Mytilus edulis: one gene and its partner. The protein of the gene in region 2 purifies or fractionates together with the protein of the main gene of each other region. This does not show direct contact. Links are inferred from orthologs where the notes say so. Each region holds a gene or a part of one and is shown on either strand. Other genes may lie near its edges. The genes, in order: F-box/LRR-repeat protein 15-like and cryptochrome-1-like.

Region 1 (17,007 bases), on a different chromosome or scaffold from region 2:
AGATGATATCTTCCCATGGTAGATCAAATAAACCAATAACTTCAATGCTGAAAATAAATGTTTTCCTCTACATGTTTGGTGTATAAGTTCATATTATGTAAGCATTATCATGATTATACAGTAATTGTGTTGCATGTATTATTGTTTATCTGATGCATGTACTGTGCAAATTTTTGAAGTCCTTTTTTCATATGCAATTAAAGTATCTTTTTTTCATGACAATCATGATAATTAGCTGCTTTGAGGAATATATGTACATGATTGTATACAGTGGTAGAAATAATAATTAAGAGATGTCAAATAAAGTTACCAAAATAATCCATAATATACATTTGTATAGTCTTTTAAAAAGCTTCATCTATTTTAAGACAAGGCGCCCATGTTGGTTGATCAACCTGGTCTATAATCACACACTTTGTAGCTGCAATCCTATAAATTAAGCATTAATTTAACTTAAAAATTAGGTCAATAATGTATTTTATGTCCTAAATTTAACTGATTATGACAATCTATATATTACCTTTCATTCTGATCCTTATCTAAATCTTCAACTGTACCTTCAGTAATTTCCTTTGACATATCTGAAATTAAAAAAGTAAAAAGGTTGACTTTTCAATTTTTATTCATTTATTGCTTGTTTTTTTAGTAGGGCAAGTGTACACTTACAATATATTGTTTGCTTCTTTTCAGTACATAGGATAAAATGGAATTTGTCAAAAATATTGATGCTAAATGACACAGCAGGTAAATGACGTAATATTTGAGTAACATTCAAATGATTTTTTTTAAATCAATACGAAAAATTAGTATGATCATGGATAGGTACTGTTTGTTTGTAAAGCAACATCAGCATATAAACATGAATTTATTTTCTATGATAACTTAGAATATAATGGGGAAAAAGTTTTTATTTAATTCACACATAGAATGATAAATAGATACATTTACAATCCAATAAAACATGCAAGTTTAAAATCAAATCATTAGTCTTTAATTGGTTGTTTATTCAACCAAATTAATGTGATTTGTATGTAATGTGATGAAAGCTCTTTATTGTTATATTTGTCTTTCTAATACCGGTTATGTGCATGTAAAATTATAATAATTATATGTGTAAAAAATGTATGTACAATGTACATTTTATCCTATATTAGCTGTATTGCTTTTAAAGTATTATTAACCTAATGAAATCATCACAGTGTGTACTGGCTTGTTATTATTGTGTATGCGGGACGCTGTCTTTGAAACACCTACAAAGCTGATGAATATGCATGACTTTAGATAAGAAAGGCGCTTGTAGCCTAAAACTGGGAGTTGAGTTGTAGATTTGTAGCATAACTGAACATATAGTTTTATCGCCCCTGATTAATGGCGGTTGGTGGAAAAATTCACTGGTAAAATATTCTGAGAATCCTGGGTTTTTTAACAGTTTCCATCATTTAAAATACACCAAATATTTATATCAGAGAGGAAGAAACACTAAGATAACTTCCGATCGATCAATTATATTTACAAACATTTATTTACGCTGATTTACGTGTGTGCACATATAACTATATAAACACGTGTTGACTACAAGCCGGTCATCATGGTAGATTTAAATTGACCTATCGATGGACAAAACCATTAATGACTATCCTCTTTCATCTCTCCCATCAAAGCAAAACAAGAGGACTGGTAAAGCAAAATTAAGCCTTTTCGAGCAAATTGACCCAAACTTGTATGATGAACATGCTAAAATCATCACATTCTATGACAATCTTGGAAAGGAACCTGATAATGATATTGAATGGTATGACGAACCCAAAATATGGGAAAACCGAAACAACAGTGGAAATTCTGTGATGATTGAAGTATTAAAAAAGGGGGAACTTCAATTTAATATTACATTTTTTGTCACAACAGGAACAATAAGAGTACAAGGCAGTCATTATTATGAGTTTGTGGATATTCATTTTCCAATTCTGAAAGATATTCTTGATAAAGTTCTTACAAACATATCACAAACCAGTCCTACTAATACATGTATTTCACACGAATGTCATGATGACAATAACAATACACACATTAATGAATTATGCCCTGTTGACAAGGTCACTTGTGTATTACCTGACTCCCAGACTGGGTTAAAATCAGTACTAGTACAAGAAGATCAACCTCAAAAAGATGATTTTCAAAGGCTTGAATTAAATTTAGTTGACACGCTGGCTAAAATAGAACACAGTCACAATGAAAACTTCAGCAAAGTATTAACTGCTGTTAAACTATGCAATGATGATGTTCTAGTCTTGGGAAAAGGTAGAAAAGACGACAATGAGATATCAACATTACAATTAAAATATAAAACCGTACAAACAGAAAAACAGACTTTGGAAGTTAAATTAAAACACGAGCAAAGCAATATTATGTTAACTAAAGCTCAACATGAAGATCAAATGAAATGTCACAATCAAATACTGGAGGAGACTAGAGCAGAAATGAAAAAGGTATTAACTACTTCAAACTCTGAGATCGACTTTCTATCGGTAAGCCTACAAACCAAAAATGAAGAAATTGACAAACTAACTGATACTCTAAAACGACATACTCAACACTTGGAGAAATTACAAGAAGAAAATATCTCTCTCCGCTCCCAAATGATTTCTCGATTTGAAGATTTTCATCTTGTTAATGCAGACACGAAATATATTGACAAATCTAAACTTGACATTGATAACAAACCAACAATTATTTTAATTGGTACATCCAATACCAAACGTATCAATGCAGAGAAGCTATCGCCATCATTTACAACCAATAAGGTTACTGCTTTCAATTTAGAAGAAACTAAACAAGCTATTTTGGAGATATCGGATATAATTCCAAATCTAGTAGTGTTTCATTCCCTGACGAATGATTTGAAAATAAAATCACCACAGCAATGTGTAGAAGAAATACAAGATATTGTCAAGCTTGCACTTCAAAAATGGCAAAATAGTGGTTGCATCATCTCTCTTACTACTCCTCGACTCGACAGTGTAATTTTTAACACAAATGGACAAATCATAAATGCCTTGTTGAAACAAATATATGATGACAATAAAGATGTTCTACTTGTTGATCATGGCAATATGTTGCGAAATGGAAACCCAATTGCAGAGCTACTAAGTCAAGATAAATTTCATCTCTCTGACTCTGGCGTGTCTCAGCTATCGGCAAACTTAAAACGTGGAATACACACTGCCTTAAACATTCCCATGCCAAATTCAAGAGGTAGATCCAAATCGCGCAACACAAGAGGACGTGGACGTGGACGTGGCAGAGGTCATCATGAATAACTTGTTTTTTAATATTATACATATTACCATATCATTATGTTGACTTCCTTTAACATGTTTAAAGTCATTTACATATAATTTATATATACATGTACAACTTTATATATTTCTTCTTTTTTTTTGGGCTGATAAATTCATATTCTCATTTGAAAAGATTTTTCAAATGAAACAGCCATTATGTGAAGAAGTCACACTATTACATGGTCATATATATGTAACCTCTGCTAGGTATAAAAGTTCGCCTTTTTTATTTTATTTTATTCATTTTTATTTTTAGTTTTCACATTTGAATCATACTTTTGATCTTGAATTAACCCAGGATATCAGGTTATTCAACCCAAATCAGTTTAATAGTTATTCAGTTAAAAGAGGATACATAGAAAAGAAATTATCTGTCATTATATCATAGACTATTTGTATTTAGAAAACCATTGTAAAAACTATCCTCTAAATAAATCTACTTATTTCAAATATTTACATTTCTGAATATTTTCCTTGTTGTCTCTTCCTTTTATTTAGAGACAAATTTTTATTATTTTTTTTTTTTATAGATAGAAAATCTATTCTATTATTTATACCAGATTTAATTGTATCAACCAAAATGCCAAAATCAAACCAATCATCTGTAAAATTTGGTTATTGGAATATAGGTGGCTTATTTTCAAAGGGCATGAATAAAGCAGAGGATCCCCTTTTTCTGAAACATATAGAGAATTACGACATTGTTTTTTTAGTCGAAACTCATGTGGGATATAATTCCCAAATACACAATATTGGCAAATTTCATTATCATCCAATATGTAGAAAATTATCAAATAATAACCGTCATTTTGGGGGTATAGCAATTCTACAGAAAAGTCACGTTAAACCTCATGTCAAAATATTGATTAACAGTAATCCAGATTATCAATGGATTAAATTAGAAAAATCCTTTTTTGGATTTAAAAGTGACCTATTTATTTGTGTACTGTACAACCCCCCTGTTACGTCTAAATATACCCAAGAACTCTCTTCTGATGTTTTTGAATGCATGGAAAAAGATATCTTTCAGTATAAAAAAATGGGTGAAATTTTGTTATGTGGAGATTTTAATGCCAGAATAGGCTCTGAAAATGACTTTATAGTAAACGATGATTCAAAATTTACTCCAATTTTTGATACATACCCTACTGACAAAAACATTATGACAAGAAAAAGTCGAGACCAAAAAATTGATCAAAGAGGCAAAGAAGTTTTGGATTTTTGCATTAGTAAACAAATAAGAATTTTAAATGGCAGAGTTCTTGGTGATACATTTGGTAATTTTACTTGCTATACCCCCAATGGTGCAAGTGTGGTTGATTATGTTGCTGTGTCGGAAGAAATTCTTGAAAATGTACTGTATTTTAAAGTATCCAGATTTATTCCCACATTATCTGATTGTCATTGTAAACTTGAGTGGGAATTATCTGCAAAATATTGTGTTCCTGGAGAAAATGATATTCCAATCCAGTTGAAAAATATGACACCTAATTATATCTGGACTGACTGTTCAGCAATAAAATTTCAAGAAACACTTTCTTCAGATACACTACAAAACTACATACTAGAATTCAACAACAGCACAATTCAATTTACTCAGACATCAGTAGATGACGCATCATCAAAACTTTCAAACATCTTTTTATCAGCAGCAAATCTATCACTTAAACGACCTTTAAAAAAACACACAAACAAACAAAAAAACAAAAAGTGGTTTGACGCAAGTTTACAACAAGCTCGAACTAACTTGCTTAATTATGGAAAAATTTATTCAAGATTTCCATATGATCCAATTATCAAAAATCACTTTTATAAACTGAATCGTGAATACTCCAAACTAAGGAAATATAAATACAAACAATACAAACAATCATTGATTAGTCAGCTGGACTCCTTGCACGAAGAGAATCCAAAACTGTATTGGAACTTAATTAATGAACTACAGGAAAAAAATGAAACTAAAAAAAAATGTGGAGTACAACCATCAACTTTGATATCACATTTCCAAAAGTTGTCACAACTGAAAGGTGAATTTCAAAGTAGATATACAGAGCTATGTGAAAAACTGAAACAGTTAGAAAACTCAAAATGTTTCAACGAGTTGGACTCCTTTATCACTGAGTCTGAAATATCCAAAGCCATTTCACACTTAAAATGCAATAAATCATCAGGCTTGGATAACATTAGTAATAATATGATAAAGAATGGACAGACTTTCCTTTTAAAAAGTTTTCAACAGATGTTTAATACTTGTCTGTCTTCAGGTATATACCCAACATCTTGGGCTGAAGGTTATATTACACCAATTTTTAAAAGCAACGATACAAGTGACCCTAACAATTATAGAGGAATAACAATAACAAGTGCAATTGGAAAGCTTTTTAATAGAATATTAAGTCTAAGACTGGACAAATTTCTTCAGGAACATAATATAATACATGATAGTCAAATTGGATTCACAAGGAAAGCCAGAACTGCAGATCATATGTTTATTTTAAACTGTCTTATTAACAAATACTGTAATTCAAAAGAAGGTAGACTGTTTGCCTGTTTTGTTGATTTTCAGAAGGCTTTTGATACTGTTATACATACAGGGATCAAGATTAAACTACTAGATATTGGGGCTGGGTCTTATTTTTATAACATTATTAAAAGTATGTATGAAATTAGCAAATCATGTGTCAAAATTCAAAATCAAGTAAGTGATTTTTTCCCATTAGATATTGGAGTCAAACAAGGTGACAACCTCAGTCCGAATTTATTCAAGATATTCATAAATGATTTGCCCAGATATTTGTCAGATACTAGAGACCCAGTTAATGTCAATGACAAAGATCTACATTGTTTAATGTATGCTGATGATATTATTTTATTATCTACATCAGCTGAAGGACTACGAGAAAAGCTGGGAATGCTTGATAAATTTTGCAAAGATTGGTGTCTCAATGTGAATACTAATAAGACAAAGGTGCTGATTTTCAACAAGGCAGGCAGACATGTAAAACAGATATTCACATTTCAGAATATAAATCTGGAATGTGTTTCAAAATACAAATACCTAGGTTTATATTTAAGCTCATCTGGTTCATTCAGTTATGCTCAAAATGAACTATACAAAAAATCCCTGAAAGCTCATTTCAAATTAAGGAAAGATCTTTTATCACTTAATCCTGATGTAAAAACAAGTATTCATGTTTTTGACCACACTGTAAAACCTATTTTATTATATGGTAGCGAAATATGGGGGATGTTTAATTCTCTTTCCTCTAAATGTAAGAAGGAAGATATATCTTTTGAAAAATTATATTCAGGTTTACCCTGTGAGAAACTTCATATAAAATTTTGTAAATTTATACTTGGGGTACACAAGAAAACAACAAATGCTGCAGTGTTATCTGAACTTGGAAGATTTCCAATATATTTTAATATTATAAAAGGAATGTTATTGTACTGGTATAGATTAGAGAATTTAGGTAATAATTTTCCTCTATTAAAAGAGGCATATACACAATCAAAGACACTACATCACATGAATATAACATCATGGTATGGTTCAATAAATGTTGTTTTTAAAATACTTGGTATTGACTATACAAATGCCATAAATGCTCCATTTTGTGAATCCTTATACAAATTTAAGAAATATATACAAACCAAGCTATCAATATTGTTTATTAGCTGTTGGAAAAAACAAATAGATAAATTTTCAGACAGTAAACTGAAAACCTACCTTTTATATAAAACAAATTTTGGTTTTGAAAAATATCTAACATTGATCAAGAATTTTGAACTTAGAAGAAGTTTTACTAAATTACGTGTATCTTCTCGTAGATTACAAATAGAATTAGGTAGATATCAGGGTATTCCCCGAATTAACAGAATATAATAAATGTTCTTCCAATACTGTCGAAGATGAGGCTCATTTTCTATTTGATTGTAACAAATTTGAGGATGATAGAAATTGTATGTTAGCTAGTATTGCACAATATAATTCTTATTTTAATCATATGAACAGTCAAAGCAAAATTATCTGGTTATTTAGTGTAGAAAATGTTGAGTTACTTAAAATAATATGTAATTTTATATACAAACATCTTCCTTAGTGAAGATTAGTTAAAGGAAATCTATGTGTGTATATACATTTGATTGGACATAGAAAATTATATTCATCTGAATATCACAAACATACTAGCCGATTAAAAAAAAAAAAAAAATAATTGTTAAGATATATTATTTATTCAAATGTTCTCTTATATCCTTGAGGCATCGTCCCCTGGTATCAACTGCATTCAAGTTACCTATGATGCTTCCTTGTTTGCTTTTGATACAGGTAGGAAAGAGACATTTACACACATTTTACATGCCTATGGCCCATAAGGTATCGTCCCCTGGTGTCAGCTGCCTTTAGGAAACCATAATGCTTTCCTATTTGCTGCTGACACAGGATGAGTCATGGACATGTTTAATTTCTACTTTCTTTTTGGCTAATTATTATATATTTAATTGATCCAACTTTTTGTGTACTATACATATGTGGATATCTATTTTTCTTTTTTTTTCTTTTTGGGCTGCTTGTTTGTTATCTATATCAACCACACTTGTAATAAAATGCATTAGTATTAAAAAAAAAACCAACATATACTATAGATTCTTTATCTACGTATTCTTTAAGAACTTAAATAGTTCTCGTTTAACTTTTTTTTTTTTTTTATCTCATTGTTTGTATTGTATTATGAAAAAATTATTGATGTTGTAATGTTTATGCCCTTTGGGGCCCATAATTGGAAATAACAAGAATGTGTCCTCAGTACACGAACGCCCCACTCGCACTATCATTTTCTATGTTCAGTTGACCGTGAAATTGGGGTAAAATCTCTAATTTGGCATTAAAATTAGAAAGATCATATCATAGGGAACATGTGTACCAAGTTTGAAGTCGATTGGACTTCAACTTCATCAAAAACTACCTCGACCAAAAACTTTAACCTGAAGCGGGACAGACGGACGAACGGACGAACGAACGGACGAACGAACGGACGAACGGACGCACAGACCAGAAAACATAATGCCCCTCTACTATCGTAGGTGGGGCATAAAAATATCTTATCTTATCTTATCTTATCTGTAGTTGATATAATAAAAAATTAGAACAGAAATAAGGTGTTAAATAATTTAATAATCTGAGCGGTAATACATGGATCTATCATTTATACATGTAATAGCCTATACATGCTATAGGGCCATTTAAATCGTAATTGGAAAAATAAAAAAATATTCTTATTATGAGGCCTTTCTTCATGTTCTTGGGTCGGATCAACTCAGGATAGAACGACTGTGAAGGATAGACTTTTGGTCAGATTGACAAGAAAGCTAAACCTGTACATGCTGTAGTTACATAAAATGTATATATATACAATGTACTACAAATTATGGATCTGTACATTGTATTTTATGTCTTTAAAGATTATTAATGTTAAGCTTTAGTCCTTTCAAAACCTGACAGCAGGTTAGATCTATACAGAATTACATGTGTGACAAAAGCATACATACTACTGAAATGTGATCAGCATGATATTCTGATTAAAAGCAAAATCATCTAATTGTCAATAGACAAATAGAGCACCCTGTCAAATGGACTACCTGTCAAATACAAGTTATAAAAAGTGTTGATTTCATCTATTTATTAAAACTGATATATATATTCTAAATATAAATTTTAGATTCACATAAAATTGGATTTTAACAAATTAATGAAAAATATCACATTATATGATTGATTTTTGTGTGCTTTGAAAGAAATAAGTAAAGTAGAATCAACTGTAATAATTTATTAACACTTTAAAACAAAATTTTACAATATCCGGAAACTGGCTGGAAACGACCACGAAACTTTTAATTTGTTAGTCATACCTATATTTGGGAGAAACACGTATTGAAATTGAAAAAAAGACATTCAGTATATTATTGATTTCTTACATGCCATCATATTTGGTACACATTCTAATCTGAAAAGTTCTGAATATACAATAGTAGATTGAAAATCAACCGGAGTACACCAGCGCTAATTTACGGATATCCGGAATTGTAAAACTAAAGTGTGAAAAAAAAATTTGTCATAATCCTCAAAAAATATGTCCTCAGAAACATCAAAAGAACAGAATAATGATGATTTAACAGAACAGGTAACATATCGGTATTCAGAATGGTATTTGTCATTTTATCTGTTTATTCGTCTGTTTATATAGGGGGTCTCATACACCTTATCGCTATTTGTCTGCCATTACTGGATATCACACAGGTTCCCGTAAAATTTTGACGTCACAATACAAAATATCTGACCCCACAATGGAAAAGTGATTGGGGGTCAGCCGGGATTAGCGATAAGGTGTACTGCCTTGGGGGGCAACCGATCTCGGATCCCGCCTACTGTCTTGTCACATTCCTGTTTCCCGCTTACACTATGTGCGTAGGCAATTCTCATTTTATTTGTCATTTCCCGGATCCCGCTAGACCTCATTTCCCATTTTCACGACATAATAATTTGACTTTCACGTTTCACGCTTACAAAAAATCGGCAATCCCGTGTCACACTTAGACCCAAATGAGACCCACTATATACAGCCTATCTAAATTATTATTACTAAACTGCTAAACATGCTAAATAGTATTACGATTTATTCAGGTCTCACATTCAATTGTTATACCTCATTTCTGGAATCAAGTATTTCACCGGAAAAGATCGTTCAGTGTTAAAATGGGAAACGAAGTCTGACAGGACATGGGAAATTACATGCGCATTATGGCAACAAGAATTAAGCTGGATACAGGATTCTCACTAAACAATAACTTGACCGACGGGATCCGGGATACCCCCCAATGAGACCCCTTTAAAAATTTCCAGCACGTTCTTAATCATCCTTCTATATACGGTATAGGGTTGCAAATAGCATGTATAGCATGCATAGAAATTATTTATGTTCTGTAAGTACATAATCTTGATTCCCTTACGATAGAGGAAGGGTGACCATCTTCAATGATATTATAAGTTTTTAATTTCCCAAATATTTTTTAAAGTATAAAATCAAACTTTTTCAATTGTTTACTCAACATGTGCAGTGACAATGCCTACATTTTTGTCACATGGTGATCAATGGTTACGTCACCATGGTCACATGACAGATTCGACTAAAAACTGTAACCCTGAACTGCTGTATTGTCAGTATTGACACAAAGATTGGATACACGCTATAACATATAAAATATGTGCCTTGTTGAATTTGTTGTTGAAAAAATAGTGTAGTTTTGTATTAAAAGCCAGGTACTTCAGTTTCGTATTTATCTGTAGCAGAAATCAAGCATATGTCAAGTGATTATCGACATTAAACTAATCATTGCTATGTATTATGACTAAAAGAGAGGTGAAAGATATCAAATGGGCATTCAAACTCATAAGTTGAAAATAAACTGACAATACCATGGCAAAAAAAGAAAAAGACAAACAACAGTTCACAAAAAAACAACATAGAAAACTAAAGACAGCAATTTAAAAAGACTCAACCAAAAAAGTGGAGTGATCTATTAAATGTGCTCAGCAAACTGTTGGGGCATGCAAATTGGAGTGTACTTTTTAATCATTACTGAGATGTTGTTATTCAAATTATTCATGCCTAGGTGAACCTTGTACAAAGACCTTTTTTTTTTACAGATGCTGCGAGAACCATATAAGTATATATGTCAGATTCCTGGAAAACAAGTTCGTACTAAACTTGCAGCTGTAAGTAGATTTACTACATCAATGCATTTTATATTTGTAAAGTGATTTTTTGCAAACAAGTTATCCAATAAAAAAATGTAAGAAATAAACATTGTCAATGAGTAGAAATAAAACATCAGAAAGACAAACAACACTGAAAAACACAAAAAATTGGAAAGACAACAATTCAAAAAACATGTAGAAACTTGATTTAACACAACTTAAACTGGCAAGATGTTGAACAGTTATATGTTGTCTCACCCTACTAACTTCTTTTCAGCTCACCTGCCTAAAAGAACCAACGTGACCAAAATTACCTATTGTCAATGTTTTAAATTAGAAAAAAAAAAAATAGTGTTATTAAGTTTTCAGTTTTCCAAACAGACATAGAGCTTTTTTTAAAGGTTATTTTGTAGTTTTTAGTTTCAGCTTAATATCAGTACATGGTTGACCATGGCCTACATTTGACCATAAGGGTTGGTCTTCAGGACTCACTGTTGCATTTAAAAGAAAATACAACTGCATACTTCACAAGGGATACAAGCATCAATGGTTGCCCAAAATTGTGAGATTTCATTGTGTAAAGTTATCTTTACCAAATTATCCATATAGATAGAATTAAAAAAAAAAACTTTGGCACTATGAAGTTGTTGGGTAGCAGACTACATGTATTTGTAATCTTGTAATCTGTTTTCAGATATATTTTTTTATTTATTAATCTTCCTTTTTTAGCTCACCTGGCCCAAAGGGCCAAGTGAGCTTTTCTCATCACTTGCAAACGAAGTCGTCATTGTCCGGGGTCGTCTGTTAACTTTTACCAAAATTTTTTCTCTGAAACTACTGGGTCAAATTTAACTAAACGTGGCCATAATCATCATTGGGGTATCTAGTTTTAAAAATGTGTCAATGACCCGGCCAGCCAACCAAGATGGCCGCCATGGCTAAAATTAGAACATGGTGGTAAAATGTAGATTTTGACTTATAACTCTGAAACCAAAGCGTTTAGAGCAAATCTGACATGGGGGTAATATTGTTTATCAAGTCAAGATCTATCTGCCCTGAAATTTTCAGATAAATAGGACATCTGGTTGTTAGGTTGCCGCCCCTGAATTGGTAATTTTATGGAAATTTTGCCGTTTTTGGTTATTATCTTGAACATTATTATAGATAGAGATAAACTTAAAACAGCAATAATGTTCAGCAAAATAAGATCTACTAGTAAGTCAACATGAGCAAAATGGTCAATTTTACAAAATGTTTTTCTCTCTAACTACTGGGCACAATGCATAATACTTTATTAGATAGATATATTTTTAACAGCAAGAGTGTTCAGTAAAGTAATATCTACAAACACATCACCATCACCAAAACACAATTTTATCATGAATCAATCTGTGTCCTTTGTTTAATATGCACATAGACCAAGGTGAGCAACACAGGCTCTTTAGAGCCTCTAGTTATTGATTCTTAAAGCAAGGGTAACAATGGATATAAAATTCATAGATTTTTTGTTTTGTATACCTACTGGTTTTCACTTCTCAGATATGATCACTATGTTTCATTTCATAGAGACACAAATTGGGAATTTTAGCAGTATAAACACCAAATTTTCTAAAGTGCCAAATTGAATTGTTAGGAAAACCAAACGTGAAGGGAGGGGTAGAATAGAAGTATTATAGTAAAAGTTTGAGGCATATAAATGCTGAAAATATGCTGTACAGCCCTATGTTTTGACCTTGGAAAAAAATAGTAGTGCATATGAAATATCCATTCTAGGATATACTTCTTACCAAACATGTCAAAGCAGAACAGTTTTAGTCATAAAAGGAGTTCATATGGGAAATTGCATTGTCTATATTTACAGATGTGCAACCTCTAGTGAGAAGAGTTCACAGTTGTACTTTTGTATTAGGCAATTGAAACATTAATCATTGTTTCATTGGACAGAATGATCAAGGAGCTTGAACTTTCACATAATGAACAGATCAGTGCCTAATTTATTCATTACATGTATTCAAATTTTTTGGTTAAACAAAATGAGAGACAATATCTTTTATTTTAGCTAATATATTAATTAAGAATGTAACCTACAATGTAGTGTAAATCTATCACATTGCATTTTTTTCAGTTTAAATGTTCATGTTGTTTGTTTCAAGTTGCTTTTTCTTTGCCAAAGTTTTTCAAGTATTTCTATTGTGGTTACATATGCATGCATATTTTTGTTATAATTGTAATAACACCTTTTTTGCAGGCATTTAACTGTTGGTTGAATATACCACAAGACAAATTGCTGATAGTTGGAGAAGTTACACAGATGTTACATAATGCAAGTTTATTGTAAGTACAATCTTGATAATAAAAAAAATATTGTCATTCAATATATGGTACTTGGTGATTTTATCTTATGTTTGCCAATGGAAAACAATACAATATTGGTAAGTTAATACTGTAATGGAAACAATGTATTTTTTTATTCTTCATGTTCTTCGGTAAACATTTGTACATTAGATAAGCAGCTGATTTTTTTCAGTTTTATGTTAATGCACTGTTGTATCTCAAAACTACACCATATTATACATAACAAGAATAACTAAAATTACCAAAAATAGTTGACAGTACAGCAATCCTGCCAAACACGACACCCAACTTCATATGTTGTTTTTTTCCCCAAAAATTAAATATACAATATAGTTTGCAAATTATGTGAAATTTTCAATCTATAGAATATACCTCATGACAAAACTGGCTATTGAATGTTATTTCTTTTATTTGTTGTCCATAGGATAGATGACATTGAAGATAATTCCAAACTGAGGAGGGGTATACCAGGTAATACAAGTCATTATAATTTAAAGTTATTGGTCATTTTGATGAATAAAATAAACAAGCACTGTTTTATATGACATTCCTCTGATTACCCGGTACATAAAAATAAGATAAATATTTTGCTATTTTGAAGAAAACAAGATCTTTAATTAAATTAGGACCATTTCGATTAACTGTTAAATATTTTTTTTAAATTAGACTCTTAATTTCAGACATTCCATCTTTATAACACAAAAAGATGGAAATGATGGAAATAAAACAACTTCATTGTAAAAGGTTTGCACATCAAAACTAGATATTGTCTACCTATAGGATGAGACATTTTTTTTCTTTCTTTTGAACAGGCGCATATCAGGGCTAAGTTAGCTAATTTATTGTAACTTTACTCATGCACTTGTCTCAGAATTTTTTTCCCCTATATACTTTAATATAACACAAAGTTCTTAACTTGTATTTTTTTTAAATGTCAGCTGGTCGAAATTTCCGCTGTATGCATATTTATCGGTTGTCAACCCCACTTAAACTTGTTATGTCGTAAATATTAATTGATTTATCTACACAATGGTGTATCACATGCCTACGTTTGTTGTCAGAATCATCCGTAGCAATCCTACCAAAGGATGTCAATCGTAATAATTTCGTAAAGTAAAGAGAGAGTCTAAATGACATTGACGTAATGGGAAAATTTGTGTATAAAAAAAGAAACATGTAACTTATTTGACATACCTCAAATAACACTTGTTAGGTTTTTTTCCATGGTATCTTAAACAATTTTACTAAATGGGTGATAAGTTCTATTCAGACAAAAACTAATTTTGTTCTTAAATATTTTTTATAATTAATCATTTACTGCAAGTTGTGTGATCTTCTGCAGACGTAATAATTACAATTGACATACTTAGGTAGGCCTGCTACTAATGATTCATACAACAAAAGTAGCAGTGTTATACACGGTTGTGTAGAAATATCAATAACAGAATTTCACGACTGGCTGAAATTTAAAAAAAAAATGAATATTAAGGTATATAGGGGAAAAAAATTCTGAGACAAGTGCCTGTGAAACTTTACCCTAATTTAATATAAACACTATAAAAAAAATTATAAATTAAAAAAGTTTTTTAGTTCAATGAGTGTTGCATTATAGATTATCATAACACTACGACATGACAAAGAATCATAATTTAAACTGTATCAATGAATTTTTACATTTACTGAAATAAAGCCAAAAGTACAGATGCCTACATACACTTTCAAGATTTAAAAAATGTATATTGAGAACTTTTTAAAATGATTATTTATCTTTTTCAGTGGCACATTCCATATATGGAGTAGCACATACCATCAATTCTGCAAACTACATCTATTTCTTGGGTCTACAGAAAGTTTTAATGTTAGAACATCCCGAAGCAACCAAAGTATTTACAGGTTTAATATCAGTTCTGTTTGTAGAATTTGTCTATTTATATAGTTTTCACACCTGGTAGATATAATTACCATTTTATGCATTTGTACTTAAAAAATATGTTGAGTTTAAGTGATTTATTAGGTTTAAAGAGATGATTAAGTTTTTAAATGGATAAAAACTCTTTTTATTGGGTTTAAAGAGATGATTAGGTTTTAAATGGATAAAAGCACTATAAACAATAAAAGACAAACAATTAATATTTTGTTATCTCCCTTGAAATGAAAAATTGAATTCAACAATTATGTTTACTCCTTTATAAAGAAATGAGGATTACCAACCAGAGATTATTCAATACATGCAATAGTCTGGTTGCCATTATTTATTTTTTTACTCTTTGACAAATCTTTACAAACTTTATTGTGTTGAAGAGACAATGAATTTAGAAGATAAATCTTTTTTTGGCAATTTGTTGGCTCAATGAATTACAGCTCTGATGTCTTTTGATTTATTTTAAGTAACCCTATGGTAAATAACACTTTTATCTTTCTCTGAAATGATGTTGCTAATCTAAACAAGCTTTTGATTAATTAATGTTTATCTTAAAATTTTTCACCAAAGCTAATTTTTACACCAAAAAAATAATTTGTTTGGTTTGAAAATTTTGTAATCTTGCCCACCTTTGTTTTTTAAGATCAAAAAGAGTTTTCCCATAGGCAGACATTTTTGGGATATAGACAATTGCTGTTCTAACAGTCAACACTTAATTCACATGTCTTTCTGTTGAGAAGCTTGAGCTGAAAACCTTTTTGTGACATGGATGAGCATGCCAGCTTAGTTGTAATTTAATGAAGAAAAAAAAACTAAATCCTAGTTCAATCATTCAGAAATTAAAAAAAGAATTCAAATAAAGCAGATCCCCCCCTTATTTGTTAAATCGAAGGCTGATTGCAAGAAGAAAACAAATATAGAACACTACACCAAACAACACCAATGAATTAAAAAAACCCAATTACATTAACTGAGAACAAAAAGGGCTATTGGATCGACTGTCATTGTATAGAAACACTTTGCTATTATTTCACAAAACTCTTATTATGAAAGAACAGAAACATTTATAAAGACTTGATGAAGACAACTTATGTACTTTGTTTCAGAGCAGTTATTAGAGCTTCACAGAGGACAGGGTATGGATATATATTGGAGGGATTCTGTAGTGTGCCCTACAGAGGAGGAATATAACACTATGGTTATAAGAAGTAAGTCAAATTTAGTTGATAGTATTTTAGAAAATATAAAAATAAGAAGATGTGGTATGATTGCCATTCAGACAACTTATCCCAAGAGACCAAATGCCTCAGAAATAAAAAAAAAAAAATTAGGTCAGTACAGTCTCCATATTGAGCAAAACCTGTACCAAATTGTCAGATATAAAACACCCCAAATGATAATGTAGAACAATCAAACGAGGAAAACTGTGTTTGCATCATCATACTTTACAGTATATAATCTGTTATTAAAGAGACACCAATTTTTTAGGGAAAGATGACACGAATTGCATTTAAAACCCTTGTGCCACTAACTTGATAACTATATTTTCTAAGCCTTGTATTCACCTTTGAGAGATTTACCACCATTATTCAGTGAGGAGGGCATTCTTTAGATCATATCCATGCCCATGTCTAGCA
Region 2 (16,709 bases):
AAATCAAAACCAACCTTCCTTTTGTGGTCATAAACCTTGTGTTAAAATTTCATAGATTTCCATTCACTTTTACTAAAGTTAGAGTGCAAAAAACGCCAACGTGATAGCAATATACGACGAAAATTTTTTCAAATTTTGCGGTCGTATAAAAACTGCATTTTACCCCTATGTTCTATTTTTAGCCATGGTGGCCATCTTGGTAGGTTGGTGGGGTCATTGGACACATTTTTAAAACTAGATACCCCAATGATGATTGTGGCCAAGTTTGGTTAAATTTAGTAGTTTCAGAGGAGAAGATTTTTGTAAAAGTTTACAGATGACGGACGCCAGATGACAGACTCCGGACGACAGACGCCAAGTGTTATGATCAAAATGTCGGTGAATGTTCTCAGAGAGTATTGTTACCAAAATGTTTTGAGTTGACTTTTAATGATTTCTTGTCATTTAAATTACTCTGATTTCATGTCTGTTTTATTGAATTACTAAAGTATTGGTTGTACATGTATACGCTCCTTACACATTATAATTTTAAAATACAGTTGTTACTTTCATGTGCTTTATTATTAAGAGTTTGTTAGAACTGACTCGGTATGTATTAGGTAATAAAACAGATAGTTGCATATAAAATATCTATATACTATGATTCTGTAAAAAAAATGTATATTAGACCTGGCATGATATTATTCTTTTCTATGATTTTTTATATACATGTAAGCAAAAAATCTCCATGGAAATGAGATGTGCCAGTGTTAGTACATCTGCAATTAGCATAAAAAATATCATTTACCTACCACTAATAGTTCCCCTAAAACTGACCTATATCACAAACTAATACATGTACATGTAAAGTAAAAAATACCTAGGCAAAAGTTTCAAAGTCAATAGACTATGACTGACATGGCATGCATGGCCAAATCATCTACAGTGAAACCTGACTAAACCAAATCCTGTATAAACAGAAAAGCTGTATAAACTAAACATGTTAGTAAGTACCGTCATGTCAATTTATGTGCATTGAGAACCTGATAAATTGAACATTGGCCAAAACCAAACAAAATCTTAAGTCCCAAAGAAGTTCGGTTTAAACAGGTTTCACTGTATTATGAAATGAGTTGTGCCAATACTAATACAATTGCATACCAAATACTATTGACCTACATTGTACCACCATTCCATTGCAATTTTCACAATAATAAAAACATTGCAAAAATTTATTTTGATTGTCAATACATACTTCATTGGTTCATAAAGGGTATGGGATACTCTTTCAACACATTCTATTTCCTTTTTCTCACAAAGTTCTTTTACAGCATCATCTCTTTGTTTCCACACAGCTTCAGGGTCCTGCTCAAATGTTAGTTTTGTCACACCCCATTCCTAGTAGAAAATAAATGAGATATGCAAAGTAACACACCCCATTCCTAGCAGAAAATAAATGACAAATGCAAAGTTACAACCCATTCCTAGCAGGAAATCAATGAGAAATCCAAAGTTACAACCCATTCCTAGTAGAAAATAAATGAGAAATGCAAAGTCACACCCCATTCCTAGTAGAAAATAAATGAGAAATGCAAAGTCACACCCCATTCCTAGCAGAACATAAATGAGAAATGCAAAGTCACACCCCATTCCTAGTAGAAAATAAATGAGAAATGCAAAGTCACACCCCATTCCTAGTAGAACATAAATGAGAAATGCAAAGTCACACCCCATTCCTAGTAGAAAATAAATGAGAAATGCAAAGTCACACCCCATTCCTAGTAGAAAATAAATGAGAAATGCAAAGTCACACCCCATTCCTAGTAGAAAATAAATGAGAAATGCAAAGTCACACCCCATTCCTAGCAGATAAAAAATGAGAAATGCAAAGTAACACCCCATTCCTAGCAGAAAATATATGAGAAATGCAAAGTCACAACCCATTCCTAGCAGAAAATATATGAGAAATGCAAAGTAACACCCCATTCCTAGCAGAGAATATATGAGAAATGTAAAGTTAAACCCCATTCCTAGCAGATAATAAATGAGAAATGCAAAGTCACACCCCATTCCTAGTAGAAAATAAATGAGAAAGTCAAAGTTACACCCTATTCCTAGCAGAAAATATATGAGAAATGCAAAGTCACACCCCATTCCTAGCAGAAAATATATGAGAAATGCAAAGTTACACCCCATTCGTAACAGAAAATATATGAGCAATACATCAATGAGAAATATAACAAATTTTTAGACTTTTATTATGAAATCATAAATATTTGTTGGAAATCAATTTTCGTGGATTTCATGGGTACAGTGGAATCATGAATTTAAACTTTCAACGAATTTCAAATTTTCTAAAGGAATGACTACAGACTTTGTCAAAACCATGAAATTAAATATTCACGAAAATGCCAGTTTTCTTTGGTAATCCATGAAAATTGATACTCAGGAAAATAAATGAATACACAGTACTTTACAGAAACTAAGAATCTGATGATCATGTAGCATTTGTTGCACATTGGTTTTCAAAATACAATGGGTTAATTGATGCACATTTACAATTTAATTTTTTTTTCATATGATGTGTATGTTGTATACATGTACATGTACATCATTTCAAGCAGACAACACAAAAACAAAAAAAATGATATGCAGAGGTCAACATGACATTAATTGGGTTTTTTTTAATTAGAGTACATGTCTTTTAACACTAATATCTATTGTGGATTCATTAATCTTTGGTGGATACCACTTTTCGTGGATTTTGTGAAAACAGGGTAACCACGAATTCAAATGTTCAAGGCAAAACCATGAAATTTAATGTCCACGAAAATACAAGTTTCCTCAATCCACCAAAATTGGTATCTGTGAAAGTAAATAAATCCTCAGTATTCATTCTGTCTCCAAAATTGACAAAGATATATCACATTGTCTGCTGGGAAATCAATTTTTCTGCTGGGAAATTTTACTTTATTAGCAGTGTGAGCAGTTGGTCATTTTCTTTAAGAACTTAACAGTTATAATTATATCTTATGTTTCTAATAAATATATATCAGATCTTGGGTTGGTATGTAAAAAAATGTTGTTGATGAAGACCATGTTACAGTGTTTGAAATTTGTGGCAGCTTAACACATACTAGACAAGAGTTCATAGTTCTAGAATGATTGCACTATTATTGATATAACATTTATTTCTGTTAAAAAAAATTGGGACCTTAATCCTAATCAACCCTTTCTTTCCTTGTCCTTTCACATTAGGTCATGTTGGCAAATATGGCTGTTTGTAAAACCTTGGTCATCAGATGAAATTCAAAGAATAAGCACACAATTTAAATTACTGTGGATTCACCTATTTTTGTGGGTTAAGGAAAACTTGCATTTACATGTACCATGTTTACATTAATATTCAATTTTGTGGTTTTGGCAAAGTCTGCATAAATTCCTTTAGAAAATTTGAAATTCTAAAAGGATTCAAATTTGTGGTTCTGCTGTACTCATGAAATCTGTGAAAATTGGTATATATTCAATGAATATTTATAAATCTAGATTATCTACATTTTTATGTAAATTACAAACTTGAAGTATTGGTTTATAGTTTGATAATTATTTTTTAAAAGTACCTTGAATAGATTGGTCAAAATGTCCACAGGCTGACCATGGAAAACATACAGTCGACCACCAAATTTTCTCAAATTCCTATCTAGATCTTCCAGGCTTTCGATTAAAAACCGCATTCGATTAAATGCGACATGCTTGGTACCTTAAAAAAAGTTAAGTTGAAGATTAGTAACACATGTGAATATAGAATCAAATGGATAAACTCTAATATAAACATGATAAAAATAAGGAGATGTGATAAGCACCGAGACAATTTTCCACCAAAGTTCAAATGCAATTATAGGCCAGATTATTTCAAAATTCCAGTCTTTTCTGCTGAAAAAATGTTCAATACTTAAATTATGAACTGATGTTATAAGTGCATAAATACTCACATTGTAGCCAATATCCAAGTAAAAAATATGTAGAACCAATGTCCCATCTATGCATATACCTTCATCATGTTCATAGTAAATACGTACTTGAATTTGGTCTGTCAAAAATTGTTTTGGTTGTTTTGTTTTTTTCCCACAAATAATCATGAGCAATGGATTTATAAGTACCAGTATTGAGGCTGTTTAAAATACAGGGTCCCTAAGTATGCAAGCTTGGCTACTTAGGTATTTATATATCAGGAAATGATTGAATAAAAATATTTGTTATCATTAAAAAATAAGAAAGAGTACCAGTATTGCAAAAGATTTAAATTATAATTATTCAATTTTTTTCTGAGGTGATCCCTGGTGTTTGCTTGATTTATGCTAGGAATTGAGATGTTTAATACAATGCCATATATATTTGAACATTCTGTGCTTGCTTAGAAATCCTTGTATCAACTGTTTAATGAGTTAGTAGGTGATCCATTGCACACAAAATTTTGCTAACCAACATACTGGTAATCCTTTTTCAAGTAAAAGCCAGAAACCTAGCTTTCTTTCTGACTGACAAATTTTGCTGACCCAAGTCACCTTCCATTTCCTTGACCAATTTAGCAGGTCAGACCCACCTTCCATTTCCTTGACCAATTTTGTAGGTCAAACCCACCTTCCATTCCCTTGACCAATTTTGCAGGTCAGACCCACCCCCTATTCTGGATGACCAATTTTGCAGGTAAAATTTCTTATTTGTAATACATATATATTAGGTAATTAATTTTGTCAGATTCCCGTATCCTGCTTACACTATGTATGTCATGTATGTAAGCAATTCTCGTTTTTTGGGTAATTTCCTGTGTCCCGCTAGACTTCATTTCCAGTTTTCATGGCATGATAATTTGACTTTCACATGTCACTATAAACAAATAATCGGCAATCCTGTGTCACGCTTAGACCCTAATGAGACCCACTATGTATGGTAACTTTAAGGTAAATCTCAAATTATTAAGTACCTGCAACTTCTCCATCAAAAATAAATATAGGATAGAACTCTGTACAATTCTTCAGTGCTTCCAAGAGGGCTGGGTTGTCATGAAGACGTAGACCATGCCGGAACCAATGGACAGAAACATTCCCATGTCGATTATTAAAATCTTGTGGTGGCATGTTCAGCTCCTTAGCATCTCCTAAAACATAACATGAATTTACACTTTCAGTTATTTGTTAATCAACTTGAACAATTTTTGCAACTTGAGACAATGAACTCTTTTTTTTCAAATTATCTTGTGATGTCATTTATACATGGAACCGGTTTGGCTCAAGTCAGAAAAAGTGGGGTATTCCCTGTCTTCAGGAAAAACCCTTAAAAAAAATGCAATTTAACAGGGACTTCCCTTTTCTATTTCAATTCATGTAATTACTTAAAGTATTTCAGGAACAGCACAACATGAATAAGTGATTCGTTGTTTTTTCTAGAACTCAAAAAATAAAAAAAATAAATTGTTTAGGAATCATTTGATCAAGCTGCATGCTCCAGGTGTACATGTTACCATGGTTACTGACCATAACTGAATTATTTTCACTTCTGTTGAAAATTTCTATTCATTATATTTAAATGCCCATGTGGTTAACTTATATTTTTGACATCTCATTATTGATGTTCAAGGTATGAATTGGTGAACAAAGGAATTGGATCTGAAATTAGCTTGATTTTTAGCTAATAGTAATAGAAACACTTGCTATCATATATGTAGAACATTTTTATCACAGGTACATGATTCATAAAAGGTGCACTTTTGTATATTTCATACCATAAATTAGTCCAAATAATTATGACTTGAGCCCAACCTGTATAAGGCTGGATAAAGAGCTATGTTTTACATGTACATTAATTGTAGTTACAGTAAATAAAATAATATATAGTCAACCTTCCCATGGATAGAAACAAGTGCCTGTGGTACAAAATCTGTTTAAACATTTTTGCTACCAAAAAAAAAATAATGAGTTTGCAATACAAAAGAACATCCCATTTTGTTTTTTTTTTTTTCTTAAAAATAAAAATGTATATAAAACTAATTTAAGGGGACTGTCCAAACCTTTTGACATTACGAACTTTACACTCCAAAAATACACTCAGATAATTGTAACATTAGTTGACGTGTTGTTGTCTGATAATAACATTCGATCATGTCAAATATATTGTAATCAGAAAATCAGCACAAAAAATAAAGGAAAAGCCAAAGAAAAATAAACAGGAAGTGGTTAATTGCTTAAAATATCAAACACAACTCCGGAGATAGATATGCATATACAGAACCGGAATTTCCAATATCACTGAGAGAAGTACTTATCATGATTTACCTGGGAAAGGTTGGTCAAAATGTAGGGGGATTAAGTATTTCATGATTTCTATTAGTTGAAAAGAAGGTTCATTTTTTTCTTGATATATGTAAATAATTTATTGAAAGTAGGGGGTTGAATTTTATCTCTAATGAAACATTTGTCGGAACCAGAGACATACATGTATAATTCAGAGGCGGATTGAAAGGCAAGGGGCAAGGGCTCCCTTTTTTGGGAAAACATTTGGTTGCTTATATAGGGAATCACTGAAGCGTGACTGGAGCGGGCCCCCTCTTAGGCAGTCAGTGGGACGCCACTTCTGAAAATTTCTAGATCCGCCAGTGTAATTATATGTCTCTGTCGGAACTTATGAATCTCGAGTCAAGTACATCATACTTATTATGTGTGTCAAAGTTAATTGTTTTTGAATTTGCATGCTTAAATTTTCGCATGTTTATAGAGTGGAATTAATTAAAAAGAAAAGTTTTCCTTCAGCGCCGATTGAAAACAACCGAGCTTGTTCCAAAATGTCTTTGGCCTATTAAAAAAATCAAAGGCGGATTTAAGGGGGGCAAGGGGCAAGGCCCCCCCCTTTTGGGAAAACATTTGGTTGCTTATATAGGGAATCACTGAAGCGTGACTGGAGCGGGCCCCCTCTTAGGCAGTCAGTGGGACGCAACTTCTGAAAATTTCTAGATCCGCCAGTGTAATTATATGTCTGTCGGAACTTATGAATCTTCAAGTACATCATACTTATCATGTGTGTCAAAGTTAAGTGTTTTTGAATTTGCATGTTTAAATTTTCGCATGTTTATAAAGTGGAATTAATTAAAAGAAAAGTTTTCCTTCAGCGCCGATTGAAAACAACCGAGCTTGTTCCAAAATGTCTTTGGCCTATTAAAGAGGCTTATATAGGGTATATTGGGATACGGGATATTTGCCATTTTAATTTTAGGGATATGGGATATTTGTCCTAAAAGTAAATGGGATATGGGATATTGATGCATTTATAAGGATATTGAATTTTTAACATGAAAAAAATAAGTGGAATTTAAAAGTAAAGTACAGAAATATTTACATCTCACTTGATAAAATTGCCCAAAAAAGTTAAAGGTCATTTTAGTGCTTTGTTGATTTTAATTGAGTTAATGGTCGTTTTATTTAAAAGTCATCCAAACCCAGGCGAAAAGTATTGATCTGTTTTCGATATTTATATGCTCATATGTACTGATAATTTTAAAAGTATTTGGTTTGCTTTCCATACTTCGTTCCTTATTGTTAATTTTCCTTTTTTTGCTTTGGCACTATCTTATAGTGTTTGTATATCACAACACCTCCGCTATGCTCGTGTCTGTTGTAACGTTTTGGATTTTAATGAACGAAATCTATGTATTACTGGTAAATAATATTAAGTCAGGGATTTCGTTACCACAAATCACTTCAAATCTTTACTAAATTCTAGATTTGGTTTTGAAGTTTGGTTCTACCTGTAGAAAATTTATTTCAAACGGGATAGCACATCCTCATTTTTACGGAGATGTTGTTTACCGTGCCATTGGATGCTGGATGTGTAATGATTGATAATTTAGTCTCAGATGCATTACTTTTTATTAGTTGTAATTGGCTTTGAACTAGCTGTCAGTAACTGCAAGTACTCTCAGATCTGCACTTAGTGTCTTTTTGTTGATGGGATGTACAAGTACTCGGTCACGTCCACTCAGGCTGTTTTTGTTAGATGTATTTCTATTTCTATCCATCTGATGAGTTAAGCCTTTTTCAACGACAACTGATTTCTATAGTTCGTTCTTATGTTGTACTGTTACACGACTGTCCCAGGTTAAGGGGAGGGTTGGGATCCCGCTAACATGTTTAACCTCGCCACATTATGTATGTATGTGCCTGTACAAAATCAGGAGTCTTTAATTCAGTGGTTGTCGTTTGTTGCTGTGTTACATATTTGTTTTTTGTTCATTTTTTTATACATAAATTAGGCCGTTAGTTTTCTCTTTTGAATTGTTCTACATTTGTCATTTCAGGTCTTTTTATAGCTAACTATGAGGTATGAGCTTTGCTCATTGTTGAAGGTCGTACGGTGACCTATAGTGGTTAATTTCTGTGTCATATGGTCTCTTGTGAAGAGTTGTCTCATTGGCAATCATACCACATCTTTTTTTTTATATTATATGCTCATATGCATTGATAATTTTCTTGAAATAATCATAGATTTTTGTTAGATGTACCCATCTGATGAGTTAAGACTTATTGTTGTCAATGTTTTTATTTGTTATGATGCTTTATATGATTACAGGATATTTTCTAGTGTTTTACCTCTTATTTTTTACATGGCGTGGCGAGGATCTTCAGAGGTCTCCACGTTTCACAGATTGCTCTGATGTGCAACGGCTGTTTTGCAAGACAAGCTGGGGCCGAGGGACGTCAGAGCACGTCCCATATCAAAAAGTAGATATTTCGCTGTATAAACTATGTTAATAAAGAATAATTACTAAATAATCAATGTAAATAAATATATTTTCTTCTATTACTGGTGTTGTGAGGAAGGAAATTAAAAAAAAGTAACAAAAATATTTGGATCTATGTAATTCATAAAGTTCAAGATCACAGAGTCAAATGTTGTGTTATTTCTTTGCAATACAAGGGCTGTGCAAATTTTGCCTGCTGTAAAAATATTGAAACAGTTAAGTGTAATGTAGGTACATTAGCAAAAAGCTTTCTTGTGTTAAATTTTGAGTTATTGAACTTGCATGCTAAATATCCACTTTTTGATATGGACGTGCTCTGACGTCCCACAGTCTCAGCTTGTCTGGCAAAACAGCCGTTGGATGTCAGGCCAATCTCGGACAAGAGACAGGGTTGAGTCCTTCTGTTCTTTCCAACATAGGTTAACGTGCAGGATGAAGTTTCTTATCAATGAAAGAAGAATGCTATCAAAATTATATTTTACAGTCATATGCATCACGGTTTGAACAATTAAAAAAAAAAGTCCGAAATTAGACCCCTTACACTAAATTTATCGTTTAACCTCACATAAAAAGAGATTGTTATACAAGGCTCTAAGATGGAACACTTCATCTTTTGGACACATACATTGTATATTCTTATTTAACACTAGAAGTATGCACTAAATTTCCTTTAACACAGTTTGTTTTCCCAGAGTCAAAATTGTTGACGTTGTGATGATGAGGGGAAAAAATGAATTTATATTGATTTTTTGGGATATTTCAAAATAGTTTTAGGGATATGGGATATTTGTAAAAAATATTTATTGGGATATTAGGGGTAAACATTATAGGGATACGGGATATTGAGATAAAAACTTAATGGGCTATGGGATATTGATACCCCCTAAACAAGCCTTTCAAATATTTCTTGTGGTTAAAAAAGATCCACTTTTAGCAAAAAATACACCAAGATACTTGTAGTCTTTGACAATTTCTATTTCTTTATTACAAATTTTTTTTTCTTTTTTTAAGCATACACATTAACTAATACTCTTTGGACTTAACAATATGATACCAGTTTTAAATTCTAGATTTGTTTCTCAGGCCACCTAAGTACAACCTAAAGTACAAAACAATTACAAAAATGATTTACACAGCGATATTTTTGTAATCAGTCTAAATAATTGGATATTATTTCTAAACTTGACACCAAGTGTATGCTTAATTAAAAAGAAAAAAAATATTTTTGTAATAAAGAAATAGAAATTGTCAAAGACTACAAGTATCTTGGTGTATTTTTTGCTAAAAGTGGATCTTTTTTAACCACAAGAAATATTTGAGAGACCAGGGAACAAAAGCAATATATAGTTTATTAAAAAATGTCGAAGACATAATTTATCAATTGAACGTCAATTAGATATGTTCGATAAAGCCATTTCACCAGTATTACTTTACAGTTCAGAGATCTGGGGTTTTGAAAATTTAGATGTTTTAGAAAAAGTACACTTGAGTTTTTGCAAGATCATATTAAACCTAAAGCAGACAACGCCAAATAGCATTATTTATGGAGAACTCGGACGATTTCCGATCTCGCTTACAGTTAAAATGCGAATGATAAAATTTTAGTGTAGATTAGTAAATGGTGAAGAGGAAAAAATCTCGTCAATTCTTTACAAATTGCTGTTTGTATATTTTGAGAATTATGGTTTTGAAAGCAAATGGTTGAAATTTGTTAAAAGCATTTTTGATAATTGTGGTTTTAAGCAAGAATGGTCGTCTGACATTTTTAATTCAAGTAAAACAATTTGTTATAGAATATTTAAGAAGGAATTCTGTTTTGAACGTTATTTGTCATTAATACCCTCATATCTTATGTATTATTTATGTAAATTCAGATGTGGCTGTCATCTGTTTGCCCATTGAATCGGGCAGATGGCATGAAATTCAAAGAGACGAAAGAACCTGCATTGTATGTAACTCAAATGAAATAGGTGATGAAAACCATTATGTTTTAGTTTGTAACTTTTTTAGCTCAGAAAGGAAAAATTGTTACCGAAATATTGTTAAAAAAAATGCAAATGCTGCAAAATTTATTCAGTTATTCTCATCAACTGATATTATTGTATTAGAAAAACTAGCAAGATTCATTAAACATGTATTATCCCTGGTTAGTTAAATTGTGTTTAACATACACAATTAAATGAACTGTCTTTTTCCATATTTATTTACGCATGCACTATTATTGTATTATAATTGTATACTAATTTCTCTGTAACTATGTATGTTTATGAGAATAAAATATTCGCTAACAGCAAATGATTAGTAGTGTACTGTACTCATTTTTCTTGATTAATTATTGATTTTCATTTTATTTTAGCGGCAATAACGCATATGCAGTAAGTTTCACTGGTGTTAAACTGATCATCGTAATTCCAGTTACCACGATCCCAACAGGGCGGAGCCCAAAACACATATGCAAAAACAAGCCGACTATTTCAGAGTTTAGAATGACGTCCATTATCACTGAACTAGTAAACATTTGTGTGTAGGGGTCAGCTGAAGCACACCTCCGGGTGAGAGAGTTTCTCGCTGCATTGAAGACCCATTGATGGCCTTCGGCTGTTGTCTGCTCTTTGATCTGGTTGTTGTCTGTTTGACATATTCCCCGTTTCTATTCTCAATTTTAACAAAGAACATTTTCATCGGCATAATCAGCGAAAAGATGATATGAGTAAAACATCATATTTACATTGGTTTACTTAGCTAAAAATAATCGAAAAACGGCAATAAGACAAACAACAGTACACAAACTCGGCCACAACAAATAAAACTAAAGATCGAGAATCAAGAGCCCATCCAAAAACCAAAGGTGAGCTCATGTGCGCCCGACATGTGGCATCCGTTGTTTTGCTCATGTAAACACAAAACCTGTGATTAACCTAATTAGGTCACATCCGAGGCAGTAAAGAAGACGAGGTTGTGGTTTCGACAGTTGGAAAATATCCGTCGTCATCATCCACAATGGCCAAAAACTAATCATAGCGTCCTTCACATTCGAAAGATGTTTTCAACTTTACCAGTTCAATCGCTACAACGTTCTATCATGGAAATCATGCTAGAAAATGCATGCTCTGGACTATCTTATCAACTGGGAGATATATTCTCCATTTGCACTGGGGCTTTGTTAGAATGATGCTACATAGAAATGTAAAGTTCACAAATAATTTCTTTTGTTGCGGAGTTTTGTTTCTCGCCCGACCTTAATTGTCAATTTCTAGATGTAGGCCAAGATATGAGGTAGACTTTAAAACTGAATCTGCTATAACCTTTATCTTCTATAAGATGCATTTAACATAGCCACCAACTATGAATTATTTAATGAGAAGGCATAAGCTATATCGGAACATAAAGCTAAAGGATATCTTCATAACTATTAAAAATTCCATACATATATATAAAAAAAAAAACGAATTTACAAAATATTTTACTTGACGTGTATTTGTTAATTCTCAATTCTTTTTATTTATTTAATTTTTTATCTATTTAAAAAAAAGATATTTTACTTACAGTTTAACTTGATAGAAAATTCTGTCCTTCTTACCTGATGAGTTGAATAATTAATACTAATGATATGATCGCGTTTTGCATTAAAAATCAATAGGATCACGTTGTATGCGACGTGACTTTAGTTGTCGTCAAGGAATACTTCATCTTTTGTTATAGCGAGTGCAATTACTGTTTTTTTTCCTTCTTTTCAGATAAAATGACATGGTGACATTGACCTATGCCTATCACGAATCATATTGCTGATTTTCAAAGACTGTTATTCCAATAAGTCAAAAGCTGATTTATTGACTTAGTCGGTTAAAGAGCTCTTTTAAGAGCTCATGTTCTTTGTTATTATGTATATATGCAACCCGACTTTAAATAAAGATTACTTTACTTTACTTTACTTTATTGATAGATATATGTCATAAAATTGAGAATGGAAATGGGGAATGTCAAAGAGACAACAACCCGACCAAAGAGCAGAACATATATTTTCTGTGTATCGAGCTATTATAATAGTCTCAGGACCAAGAAAATATTTTATGCTACACCTAATTTATCTCTTTTTGGTTTTCGGAAAAGTCATACATTTAATAAATGTTTTTTATCTATTCATTATTCATTTAACGTGACGGATGTACGTACAACAGTTAAAAAAGTAAGGCGAAAGATCCTGATTGTCCGGACCAGGGACTTTCTATACTTACCAGTATAGACTGTCCCTGTCCGGACATTCAACATCATATGTCAAAAACAAACTGAAAATGCCATTTCATAAACGAAAAAAGACGAAAAGACAAACAACGATACACAAAACACAAGAGTGAACAATATAAAATCACAAATCACTGAGGTTGGGTTAAGGGGGGGGGGGGGGGGGGGGGGGGGGGGGGGGGGGGGTTGGAAGAAATGCACTATGAAATAATTGATTATAACTCATCAAGGTTACAGAAAACAACTATAGAAAAAATGACCGATCAATTTGATACAGGTGTATCCAAATTTAAGGCGCAAATGTCCCTATTAGTGTTTGAAGCGCAAATATTCTATCGTGTTACAGGTAAAAAAGCACAAACGTCCTGTGCCCCAAAGTAAACTTGATCTAAGTTTTCTTTGACAAGGAAAACTTGGTCCAAGTCGCGTGTTGTCACTATCAAAGATTTTCATGTCAAACATCTACCAGGTAAACTTGGTCCATGTCATCATTTGTCACTATCAAAGTTTTTCATCAAAAGCTTAGCCATAGAAAAAGCTGCACTGTGATTGGACAATTTTCGTCCTAGTCCATCTAAGTTTCTCGAAAATTAGAATCAGTTTATTGTATTCTATCCAAGTCCTTGAAACGTTTAAGCCCAAGAAAACTTTGCATTTTAAATATATTATTCATATGCAATTAATGTTCTTGTGATAATTTAAAAATGATGAACTACATATAATTATCTATCTGTTAATATTCCTATCATGAAACCATTCATTAAAATAGAGTCAGTCATTTACTAAGCCACGATTTGAGGTTTGACTGTACCCAATTTTTCCTTATACAGCATTCTACTAATGAAGATGTAAAACATGCAACCAATGTGTGCACTAGTATCTTTAAGGAATATGCAAACACGTGTACATGATTTTGTGCATGGATTATATTATTTCTCACAAAAATTCAATGTATACATTTAGGAAGTTAGTAATTTGTTTAAGTTGTCAATATCTTGTAATAAGTTGTTAATTTCCACCCGTAGGCTTCTTGGTGAATCAAAGAACATGTTCCGATCGATTGATTTCACCAAGAGGTGCTGGCTCGCCGCTTGAGAATTATATCCGGCCGAGTAGCATAATTCTTGGATTTACGAATTCCAAAACAATCCACAAAGGATTTAAAAACTATTTTCCAACGGTGAGTTAATTTTAATTTTTATCAAATTTGGTTCTGTGTAGATTTCAAACTTTAAACTACATGGAAATATGTTCTTATCTGTAAGAAATATTAAAGAACATTACGTTTGAAGTAAGGTTGTCATTTTGGTAATACTGTGTATCTTTTTTTGAAAAGACCTCCTCCCTTATCTTTAAAAATTAAATCAGTCGATATATTACAATTCATATCTCTAATAATCAGATGGTGATCTGTTCATATAACAAATATAAAAAAGAAGATGTGGTATGATTGCCAATGAGACAACTGTCCACAAGAGACCAAATGACACAAAAAATAACAGCTATAGGTCACCGTACGGCCTTCAATAATGAACAAAGCCCTTATCGCATAGTATGTCAAACTTATATCATTGGATGTAACATGATGATAAAACAATTAAAAATAAAAGTCAGCAGTAGCTTATCTAAAAATACTGAGGGAATCGCATGAACTTCAAACTCAGCAAGGTCGGATACGCCAAAAGTGCAATTGTCTCCTGTTTTGCATGTATCACCCGTCATACGAATCCAGCCTCCATTAGATTGATATGCTAAAGAACAGGACACAATCGACTATTCTTATTATCAAAATAGAATACAACAGTATAAATTATCTAAAAATACTGAGGGAATCGTATGAACTTCAAACAAAGCAAGGTTGGGTACGTCAAAAGGCAAACGCGTCTCCTGTTATGCATATATCACCGGTCATATGAAGCCGCCTCCTTCAGATTGTCACGACTGAGAACAGGACACAATCGACTATTCATACTATTATACCTGAGATCAATAACTCATCCCACTAGTGAGTTCATGGAGTTGAGACAAAACAGTATATCACCAGTCTGAAGTGGCTTAACTCATTAAAATCGGTACAAAGCAGAAAAATTGCTTACAAAAACACAGAAGGACGTGGCGGGTGACCGTAAATCTTGCGTAGTATCAAATATTCAGTCGTCCATCTAAGTAGCCCTGTTGGAGCAGATTATACATTAGGAGCACAAGCCTGTTTAAGAAACGCAAACAATCGCTAACATGTGGGTTATTGAATGATAAGACATCATACCGGTAGATATATACAGAGACGGATTTAGGGGGCAGCCCCCACCTTTTCTGTGGAAAATTTGGTTGATTATATAGGGAATCACCGAAGCATGACAGGAGTAAGCCCCCTCTAAGGCAGTCAGTTGTCCCCTACTTATGATATCTGAACGTGAATCTTAAGGAACTTGGCTATATGCATTTTTCTTTTTGTCTTAGAGAAGGATTTGTATCAATTCAGCAACATATGAATACCAACATAACTCGGAAAGAAAGGATGAACACTAAACCTGATGATAATGAGACCCTCCACAACCACGACAACAATGAATATATTTTAACAAACAAAATTTTTGCTCTTTGGACTGAACTGTCTCTTTTACACAGTCTTCGATAGAAATGGAAAAACCTTCCAATTTTTATAAAACTCCTTTCCTTTAAACAAAACACAGAGTATACTGAGTTTCAAGTTCTGATATTTAAATAAGTAGATATGGTATGACTGCACAATGAGACAACTATCCACCAGAGAACGGATACCGAGGATTAACACAACCATGTAGGGCACTATACAGACGTCAATAATGAACAAACTCCTTCCATATAGTAAGATATTAAAGGCACAAGCATTTCAAAATTTGAAACCATTCAAAAAAGAAAAACAAGTGCCCAATTTGTCACTTTTTAAGCTGAACCAAATGTAAATTAAGATACAAGAAAGTCTTTTTGCTGTATTTATATATAATAGAGTATGTTTTCAAGCATATTTGGCTTATAAAACTTATTTCAGCTACTAGTATTTAAAGAATTAAATCTCAAAAATACTGAACTCCGAGGAAAACTCAAAACGGAAAATCCCTAATCAAATGGCAAAATCAAAAGCCAAAACCCATCAAACGAATGGACAACAACTGTCATATTTCTGACTTGGTACAGGCATTTTCTTATGTAGAAAATGGTGGATTAAACCTGGTTTTATAGCTAGCTAAACCTATCTTTTTAAAAGAGGTACTTAAATGTATATAACATGTTTAACTTGACTCACCATAATTGATGAAAGGTTGAACACAAACCACAAAAACATGAAAAGTTTCGATATACTAGTCTATTTACTCTTTTTATTTGGTTAAACACGAATAGCTGTGTCATATCTGACCACGGAAATGGCAAATGTGTCGTAGTTACAATCAGATCCTCTAAGCTTAAGTTCTGACATCACCGAATAAGACCTGTCACTGAACTTTTACTTGCCATGATCACCACCAACGGTGTCATTTCTATATCGGGAATTACTTGTCCGTTTGGGAAACACCTGATTTCCCATACGGTTTTGTTAGGGTTCTTTTTGCTCTAATGCCTCTGTGTAATGTTTTGTGTATTGTTGTTTATCTTTGTAGTCGTGTTTGCCATTGTGTTACTATTTCTTCGACTTATGGCCGACTTCCTTCATATTGTT

What was found.
Region 1: the proteins of cryptochrome-1-like (region 2) and F-box/LRR-repeat protein 15-like purify together in Drosophila melanogaster (affinity purification with western blotting; 5 studies listed by BioGRID). This does not show direct contact. The link is inferred for Mytilus edulis from reciprocal best matches to the Drosophila melanogaster genes cry and jet.

Annotation. Positions count from the first base shown.
Region 1 is NC_092352.1:36,572,373-36,589,379, reverse strand, and holds the start of F-box/LRR-repeat protein 15-like, read right to left. Parts: upstream 9,007-17,007; 5' UTR 8,889-9,006; exon of another isoform or gene 8,885-8,888; intron 582-8,884; 5' UTR 580-581; coding exon 521-579; intron 48-520; coding exon 1-47. Other genes in the region: geranylgeranyl pyrophosphate synthase-like, read left to right, coding at 9,470-9,520, 11,044-11,112, 13,343-13,428, 13,874-13,920, 15,226-15,342, 16,477-16,578.
Region 2 is NC_092353.1:49,650,882-49,667,590, reverse strand, and holds the start of cryptochrome-1-like, read right to left. Parts: upstream 6,214-16,709; 5' UTR 6,057-6,213; coding exon 6,047-6,056; intron 5,138-6,046; coding exon 4,964-5,137; intron 3,740-4,963; coding exon 3,600-3,739; intron 1,378-3,599; coding exon 1,235-1,377; intron 1-1,234. UniProt on the Drosophila melanogaster protein: Blue light-dependent regulator that is the input of the circadian feedback loop. Has no photolyase activity for cyclobutane pyrimidine dimers or 6-4 photoproducts.